Linked DNA regions of Nothobranchius furzeri. The protein of the gene in region 1 interacts with the protein of each later gene in a biochemical or structural test. Links are inferred from orthologs where the notes say so. Each region holds a gene or a part of one and is shown in the gene's direction. Other genes may lie near its edges.

Region 1 (4,539 bases):
GAGGTACCAATCGCCTGAAGAGATGGAGGACAATGAGGGATAAATGTGTCCATGGTTAAAGTCTCCGAAATACATTGAAACAATATAAACACTATACAAAATCTTAGACCAGATACGTGCCAGTAATGGTGACAGGTTACCCAAAAAAAGCACTACATCCTTTGTTGTCCTGGCGGGGAATTGCTTTGCAACAATCCACATGTGATGTAGAAGTCTGAAGGAAAAGCCTCTCTGTGAATCTGTTTGCGCGACTCACACTCGAGCTGATGGAGGAGCAGAAATCAGGCTTCAGTCTTGTCTTCATTCAGCTGTAGAAAGCTCCCAGCCATCCAGGTTTTAATAGTCTAAACAGGAGAGTAACAGCTGCAGCTTAGACATCTCATGGGGCTTAAAGGAGATGTAGAGTTGGATGTCATCTGCATAAAGATGGTAGGAGATTCCTTTAGAGGAGCTCAAGATGTGCTGAAGAGGAAGCAGATAGAGGAGGAAGAGCAGAGGCCCCAGCACAGAACCTTGTGGGACACCATGGGTAAGAGAGGTGGTGGAGGACCTAAACTTGGAGATGGCCACAGAAACGGAGCGCTCAGACAGACAACAGGAGAACCACTCCAGAGCAGATCCTGACAGGTGTACCCAGTCCCTCAGCCTAGTAGCAGGTGATGGTCAACAGTGTCAAAGGCTGCAACCATCCACTACAATGTCTGGTGGTGTAGGTTTCCTCCAGATGGATTAAGACACAGCTTCCAGAAAGTTCTGCTTTTTGTTGTCTTTTAGCACAAGTCATGACCCTTGACTTCAACCACCTGCAGTACTTTAGATGTTGTTCTGTGTTTTCTTTAGAGCCAGGATGTGTTGCTTTTTAGGTCCTACAGTGATCAGTTTGGTTAGCTTTGTAACAACAGTTTATGAAATAGTAATTTTAGAAAATGCATTTTGTATTTGCTCAGGTTATCTATGTCAGATGTCAAACATTATTGTCTGACTGTGATTTCTGACCCAAACCCCCAATGAGGAAATCTTTGAGGGGCCGATTATTCACAACACTCCTGGTTGCTGTAGAAAGTCAGATTCAAGTTAGGAAGGCTCACTACATTTTACAAACTGTAAATTAGCATTTTGATGCGCACCAACAATTGCATAATATGTATAGATTTCCCATTTTAATCAGTAATAACAATAAAATATGATGATCCTCCTGGTGTTTGCTTGACATTTGTGTTAAAAACATTTAGCCACTCCTCAACAGAGCTTGAATTTATTATGATAAAATAAAACATTTTTAAAATCATCACAAACAGTTGGAGCTTGTCTTAGTTCCTATGGCCTTTATGTGTATGGCACCAAAGTTTATTCCCTGTAGCACTTTAATGCCAAAGAAATTACTGTAATAAAACTTCACCAGGTTGAGAATGGCCTTCAGCATGTCCAACTGAGCGGCACAGGCAAGACTTTATTGGGATGCTCAAAACGAAGACCGTTCCTATCGACATTCCTGGGTTGGACTCCTCTGGATTTAAGTGAAAGCGTTCCCTATATATTTTTTTTGTTGTAATTGGAGGAATTGATTTATTTATTATAAATCTAAATATATTATTTAGGGCAGCAGTAGCTCAGGTGGTAGAGCGGGTTGCCTCATGATCAGAGGGTCATGGGTTCGATTCCAGCTCCCGCCAGGGGTATCCTGCTGTTGTGTCCTTGGGCAAGACACTTCACCCAACTTGCCTGTGTTAGTGGTGGTCAGAGGGGCCGACGGCGCCAAATGGCAGCCTCGCCTCTGTCAGACCTCCCCAGGGCGGCTGTGGCTACAAGTAGCTTACCATCACTAGCAGTGGGTGAATGTGAGAGTGTGTGAAAGCGTCTTTGGGTGTCTAGAAAAGTGCTATATAAGTTCAATGCATTATTAATATTATTATTATTATTATTATTATTATTATTATATAAAGAGTGCTTTTCATCATTTTACATCATAAAGCCTCATCTTGACCCCTCACTGCCCCCTTTCATCTTTGAAGCCATCCCTGAAGGCTTCAGTGTAGATGTCCATCCCTCTGAGACCCCCCTGGAGCAGGAGAACATGTCTCTGCGCTGCAGTGCTGACAACTACACCTACGATCAGCTGCAGTGGTACCGTCTCAACCCCCAGGCTCTGCAGGACCAGCAGGGTAGGCTTCCGGAGCTGGACTGCAGCAGCATGCACCGGTACGCTAAACCCCTTCAGGGCGAGCTCTTCTTCCAGAAAAACTCCAACAGCTGGGTGTCAGACTTCACGGTCGAGTCCGTGCGGCTGCCGGATGAGGGGCATTATGTGTGCACGGCTCAGAGCAGGCGCAGTGGCGAGAAGCAGTGTCTGTTCAGATACATCTCTGTCAAAGGTGAGAGGAAGGAGGAATAAATACAAGCATCAAACACACAGATTCACATCCTGTAAATGTTCAGCCCAAACACAGCTAATTATAGAGCAGAACTCTGTGGAGGAAACACACACACACGCACACACACACACACACACACACACACACACACACACACACACACACACACACACACACACACCGAGGCACTAACACATTTTTGGAATTCATTCATGTTCTCTGCTCTGGATCACCTTGCATCACTCCCCCTAGGACAGATGTACATTTTAATAGGATTTTGTAGATTATTTTTCACGTATTATTTACTTTTGCTTTTTCAATCGTACAAGACTACAGGCCCATGGCTCTGACGATGACCGATGCTATTGATTTATTTTCTAGCCCTGGAGGCGCCGCGGTACAAGCACAGCCTCACCAACCAGACGGTGAACATTACCGAGTCTCTGAGGATGGAGTGTGATGCAGACGGCCGACCTCTGCCCCATCTCTCCTGGTTCAAAGACAACCAGCCCCTCCACCAAATGTCAGGTGGGAAAAACACACCTACACACTCGTTAACACAACTGGGCCCACCTTCTGTATCAACCACCCACCCACCCACACACACACACACACACACTGGCTGGAAGTCAGAATCATATCCTAGTTGAAAACTGGTGGATTGTTTGTTTAAATATTGAAATTAATATGATTCATGATTTGGTAGCACGTGGAGTGTGTGTGAGTAAATGTCCAGTGAATGGCTGATATTAAAATTCAGCCTGACTGTCATTACTCGGAATGTGTGTATGTGTCTGTCTGTGTGTGTGTGTGTTTGTGTGGAGTGGGGGGTGGGGGTGGGATTCTGCATTTAGCCTGTCTGATGAGGTGCACACCTCAAGCGCACGTTGGAGACAGGGAGCATTGCCGACCAGCGCTCATTTCTATTCTCTGTGCTATTCCTCTTGAGGTTCTGTGGGTTTGATTGACAGCCGATGCTCTGGGTTTAGTCAGACATGAAGCCTGACGTGTAGAGTGATAGAATAATAGATATCTGGAGTTGTGACTCGATCCCCCCCCTTCCCCCCTCCCCCCAAAAAGTGCTGTTTAATAACGTTGAGGAGTCATGGAGTCATGCATTAATCATGCAGGGGTCCAGCTGCAGGATTCAAACCGCACCTTGAGCATCCAGCGGGTCAGAGAGGAGGATGCTGGACTTTACACCTGCACCGCCTGCAACCAGCGAGGCTGTGTCCAGTCTTCAGCTGCTGTCAGGGTCATCGGTGAGACAGCAACACACGCACGCACACATGCGCACACACAAACACACACACACACATGCAAACACAAACACATAAGCATGCACACACACAAAGACACACACACACACACACACACATAGTTCATGCCCTCTTTACCCTTGAAAAGTGCTCGTCGTTACTCTACTGCCGCTGACGGCCGTGTGCTTGTGCTCTCTGCTCTCCAAATCAAACCCATTGACTTGTTGGACGTTTTGTGTTCAGAATGAATCATTAAGAGGAATGACTGGAAGTGGTTTCCACAGAAGACCCAAACACCTTAAAAGTCTGCTCAGCAAACTGATTCCAGCTGGGCGACTCCAGTCCTCGAGGGCCAGTATCCTGCATCTTTTTGTTACTTCCCAGTTCCAACACAGTTGATTCAGCAGCTCATCAAGCTCTGCAGAAGCCAGCTAATCTCCTGCTGATTGAAATCAGGTGTGTTGAAACAAGGAAAACAGTAAATCATGTGGGATAGTGGCCCTCGAGGACCAGGATTGCCCGCCCAAAGGTTACTGGAAAGGAGCTGGGGTCAATGTTTTGTAAGGCAGTGCCCCCTGTAGACGCCTTGGGGTATAAGCTGTGTCAGGGTGGGGTGTTGTGTTTTAGTGGTAAAACCATTTATACCCACATGTTGTTTTTTCTGATCTCTGCGATCAGGTTCGAGTGACAAGGCCAACGTGGAGATCGTGATTTTAGTCGGGACCGGTGTCATCGCAGTTTTCTTCTGGGCTTTGCTCATCCTCATCTTCTGCAACGTGAAACGGGTCAGAGAGCACACACTTTTCTTCCTCCCTGTTAACCTATAACCCCTGTCATTTTAAACAGGCTGCCTGCATTTTTTGTGATTTTTTAGCTTCCAAAGAAACGTTTGTTTATGTTGTGACCTG
Region 2 (4,539 bases), on another chromosome or scaffold:
ATCATGGCACCGTTTCCAATTGTAAATAAGCTGCATTCTACCACCACTTTAAAAGTCACACCACCAGACTGTTGAACAACTTATATACAAGAGCCATCACTGAATTGAATAATGCTGCTATTATGTCACACAAACAGTGATGCAAGTTGTCTGGTTTAGGTCTAATTGTGCCACTGTAGAACTGCTTCTTTCAGAGCATCTTAGTGATGTGACGCTCACAAACAAATCAAATTGTTTGAATGGGTTTTCAACATGAACACTGAGAGCCAAGTCCTTGTAGAGAACCGTTCATCTTGTCTTCCAGTAGCGATCCATATGATCCAAATATGATGTCACCATGAAACCTTCTGATCTGTGTTTTTGCTTTTAAATCTCAGCAGGTGATGAGGCAGTGGGAAAAAGAGGTGCGGTCAGCGTCGAACTTGGATGAGTTGCTGAGACTCACAGACTTTCCAGACTGGAAGTTATGGAAGTGTCGTCTGAGGATGCAACAGCCAGAAACGTTCTCCTTTCCTACTTCAGTGGGGTCACACCGCTCCACTCGCTACGCTGCAGAATCATACAACCTGGAGATACTTAAAGGTTGGATGAAAGATATGATGTAGTACATTATGTGCAACTTCATAAATTGCAGGGTTTAATGTTCGTGTGTGTCTGTATGTTTGTGTGCATTTGTGTGTGCGTGCATGTGTGTGTGTGTTCAGCCATAGATGAAGAGTGGCAGCGTACTCAGTGTATGCCCAGGGAGACCTGTGTTGATGTAGCCAAGGAGCTGGGCACTGACCCCACCATCTTTTTCAAGCCTCCCTGTGTGTCTGTCCACAGGTTTGTTTGGATTAAACACGCATTCAGAATGATCATCTGTATTGTAACCCCAGATATCCTGATTACCCAGTCACTGAGAGCTTTAATATGTGCCTACTGGGCATTCTTCAGGTTTATGAAGGTGAACCAGACCTCCTAGTGCACGTAATCCAAAACCTGTTTCTTCGAGCATGCAGAAGTGTTTCATCATGATGGAACAGTTGAATAGACACAGGTCGAGAACAGGTCACATTTCTCTTGTTTATTTCAGAACTAGAAATGACAATAATACAATCCGAACTCTCCTCATCCAGGGGACTCCGGATATGACCTCCTAGACAAGAGGTCCCGCAGTTCTAGCTCAAGGGTGGAACACTGTTCCGACGATGTTAGTTACTTCTCCACCATCCTACAGAATGGGGAGGGGCAAGACAGAACACGAAGCAAGAGGCTGTTGTAAAAAGTGCCGTCAATCACAGGGTCGGGGCAGGTTATTGCTGACCTGCAGCACCAGCACCAAAACCCCATCAGGTTCGGAAGGAGCCCACTACATATGGAACATTTATGGGCAAGGCGTATGGGTCCCACCAGGGTTTGTCCATGATTTTCTTTAATTTCATGGTGGCCCCACAGGAGTTTGCCCAGAAAGCTCTTTGCCCACATAGATTTTAATGGGCCCTGCATGGGTTTTTAGAGAGTTTAGATTCTTTGTGGGCAAACCCCTGTGGGGCCACTGTGGAAACTGTGGACAAACCCTGGTGGGAACCATATGGCTTGTCCATATATGTTCCAAATGGGGCGCACCTACATGTGCTATCTGGGGGGAATGGGTGATAAAAACAACGCTCAGAGGCCTCCTTCACCCGGCAATAGAGTGCTGGAAGAGAAACTAGGTCAGCTGTTGCCTATATTTTGAACCTAGGCAGTAGGCGTCATGGCCATATTGGGTGTTGGTGGCCCTTACCTTCCTGCCAGATGATCTGGCTGTGGGGTAAAGACAGTGGGGAGGCGAGACTGGTTGGGTCACCTCAAGAGGAGAGCGTGAGAAGCTGGAAGCAGAGTCTGAGCTGGTCTCAGGTGAACGGAGGGACAGCACACGTACGTATATCCGCTGGACCCCTGCCTCTAGGGACCCGAACGGCTTCCACAGCCATCAGGTTGATGGGTGACTGAAGAAAAAAGTTCTCACATCAGAGAAAGCCACTCTGGCCGGTGCAATCACCCCGTATGTTGGAAGAGAAGCAAAAAACAGGAGACAGATGCATCATAGTGATTTGTGAAACACTGCAAACGCATATCAATGAGGTGGACTGAGTGCCAATGCACGAAAGCTTGCAGGTCACTGTAACGTAGAGAAAGTCCGGACGGTAATCTGTTCCAAATTATAACACGTGGATTGCCTTTGGGGCGACTGTGGCACATGTTACGTGCTTGCTCTGTATCGGAAGGTTGCAAGTTCGAGCCCCGCTCAGTCTGTCGCTGTCGTTGTGTCCTTGGGCAAGACACTTAACTCACCTTGCCTGCTGGTGGTCGGAGGGACCGGTGAAGCCTGAGTACGGCAGACTTGCCTCTGTCAGTATACCTTGGGCAGCTGTGGCTACAATGTAGTTCATCACCACCAGGGTATGAATGTGTGTGTGAATGACTGACTGTGTTGTAAAGCACCTCTAGAAGGCACTACATCAAATACAAGCCATTTACAGGCCACGTGTTAGCAACCTAACAATGCAAACATTCACACTTAGCAAAAAGGTTGTGTGAAGAGAGAATGGGAGAGCAATGGTGGGTTTATACCCCTCTTGTACTGGATTGGGGCTGCCCAGTATGAGGGCGTATATTAAAAGCTCTTTAGTGATTGGTTAATTGAGAAATATTTGACACAACCAGCCTTAAAGGGCAAAGCCTATACAAAATAAAACTTTGGTCCTTCATCAGGTTTACAAAGGCCAAATTAAATTCAACAGTCTCAGTCTAGTCTTTGCTCATTGCTTTATTCTGACATGAGTTTGTCTTCCTGCTCTGCTGGCAGGTGCAGCGGCTGCTGCAATCAAGAGGGTGTAACCTGCAGGAACACTTCTGTTGCATATGTCAACAAAACTGTGAGCGTCTTCCATTTTTTTGAGGGTTTAATCAGCAGCGTCAATCAAGCTCAACTTTCTGTCTGTGTGATTGTACATTTTAGCTCCTAAGTGTGATTCCCTTCAAGTTTGTACCAGAACCTGTGTTAATAAAAGTAGCCAACCACACTGAGTGCAGGTGCATGGAGCCTGCAATCATCCGCCGTAATGCTCAGCCACAGCGGAGCAGCGGGTGAGTCCAAATCATCATTACTAATAGTACTGTTTCTCAAAAAGATTTAAATAAAAATTTCTGTTTACGTTTTTTTTTTGTTGATATAGCTGTTCTCTGATGGGCCAGCTGTCAGAGTTTGAGGACTCCAGGAGACTGTGTGCCACTGGCTGGATTTGGGATTGTTCCTCTGAGAGATGCATACCCTACCCCTCCACTGGACCAGGTGAGTGCATGGAAATATATCCAAATCACGACGCAATAAACTCTTAAGTTAATTGAGTATGCTTCTAGTCAAAAACCTCTGCTTTAGTATTTTCATTTAAAAGCCATGTCTCACACAGTGCTTCCACTCAGTTCCTGGATGCCAGACTGTGAGATAGATGTGGAGCGGTGTGACTGCCTCCCCAAACCCGAGCCTCTTCTCCAGCCCAGACCGGTCCACCGGTGTCAGCACAACTCTTCCATCTGTGCCCACAGGCATCAGCGTTTTGATAAAGCCTTACGCAGGTGAGTCAACTGAACTAATCGTCTCTTGTTCTTCTGATTATGTAATCTGTCGTTAGATCAAGGCCAAGGCTCTATACTGGAACATTATAAATGAGAGTTAATTGCCTCTGAAAACATAAAAGCTCATTAAATTAATTCTTAACACCTGACACCTTTCATGCAAACGGTAAGATGTGTTCACTTGGAGTGGCAAGCTGTAACGTATGTTTTGGTTAATTTTTGAAGAAGCTTACGCTTTTTAGGAAAGTTTGTGATAAATGTTGCTGTTGGCTTTGGGCTAGGGTTTAGAGCTGCTGTTAGGTTAGGGTTAAGGGTTTCAGCGTCCATCACATTAGGAGCAAACCTGCTTCTCTGTAGGTCAAAAGAAAACACAAACGCATTGTTTCTTCCTGAGTTAATTCAAAAAGAAGGTTGACAAATTTGTGATGAGGTGATGATCTGTACTCTAATGTGTTTACGTCAATGTAGATTTCATCATTCATGAAAAAATCTCCCTCTTTTTTCAACAGATGCAGACCACCCAAGTAGAAGTTCACCAGGGATTAAATTTATTGACAAGTTGCTCATCTTAAAACAGCAACAGAGAAAATAATTTCCTATAATTTATTTTCAGTACTATTTATGGAGATCACTGTAATAAAACTTCAGTCTGGAGTTTTTCCTTTTCAGGATTTATGTTTTTTTTTTATTCCTTAAAAGTAATAGGCTTACCTTGTGCTGTGAAATAATGTAGGCAATAAGGAGCCTAACCCAGACTTTCCAAAAGATGCAAAAGTGGCGTGTAATGTCATAGAGGCATTTTCCCCGCAAGCTCCCTTCCAACTCACAGCCATTCAGACACAAAATGGAAGCCAAAACATTCCACATAGCTGGTCCCACGAGGTCGCAAAATCACGGGAGAATTACAATACCACACGTGACTTCGGAAGTCCACAC

What was found. The genes of interacting proteins can lie anywhere in the genome.
Region 2: the proteins of flt4 (region 1) and vegfd form a complex in vitro, tested with the Homo sapiens proteins (2 studies listed by BioGRID). The link is inferred for Nothobranchius furzeri from reciprocal best matches to the Homo sapiens genes FLT4 and VEGFD.

Annotation. Positions count from the first base shown.
Region 1 is NC_091741.1:101,870,169-101,874,707, reverse strand, and holds part of flt4 (vascular endothelial growth factor receptor 3), read left to right. Parts: intron 1-2,012; coding exon 2,013-2,372; intron 2,373-2,753; coding exon 2,754-2,900; intron 2,901-3,502; coding exon 3,503-3,634; intron 3,635-4,309; coding exon 4,310-4,416; intron 4,417-4,539. UniProt on the Homo sapiens protein: Tyrosine-protein kinase that acts as a cell-surface receptor for VEGFC and VEGFD, and plays an essential role in adult lymphangiogenesis and in the development of the vascular network and the cardiovascular system during embryonic development.
Region 2 is NC_091749.1:41,122,677-41,127,215, reverse strand, and holds part of vegfd (vascular endothelial growth factor D), read left to right. Parts: intron 1-377; coding exon 378-582; intron 583-704; coding exon 705-825; intron 826-2,833; coding exon 2,834-2,903; intron 2,904-2,986; coding exon 2,987-3,114; intron 3,115-3,203; coding exon 3,204-3,319; intron 3,320-3,437; coding exon 3,438-3,603; intron 3,604-4,112; coding exon 4,113-4,131; 3' UTR 4,132-4,539. UniProt on the Homo sapiens protein: Growth factor active in angiogenesis, lymphangiogenesis and endothelial cell growth, stimulating their proliferation and migration and also has effects on the permeability of blood vessels.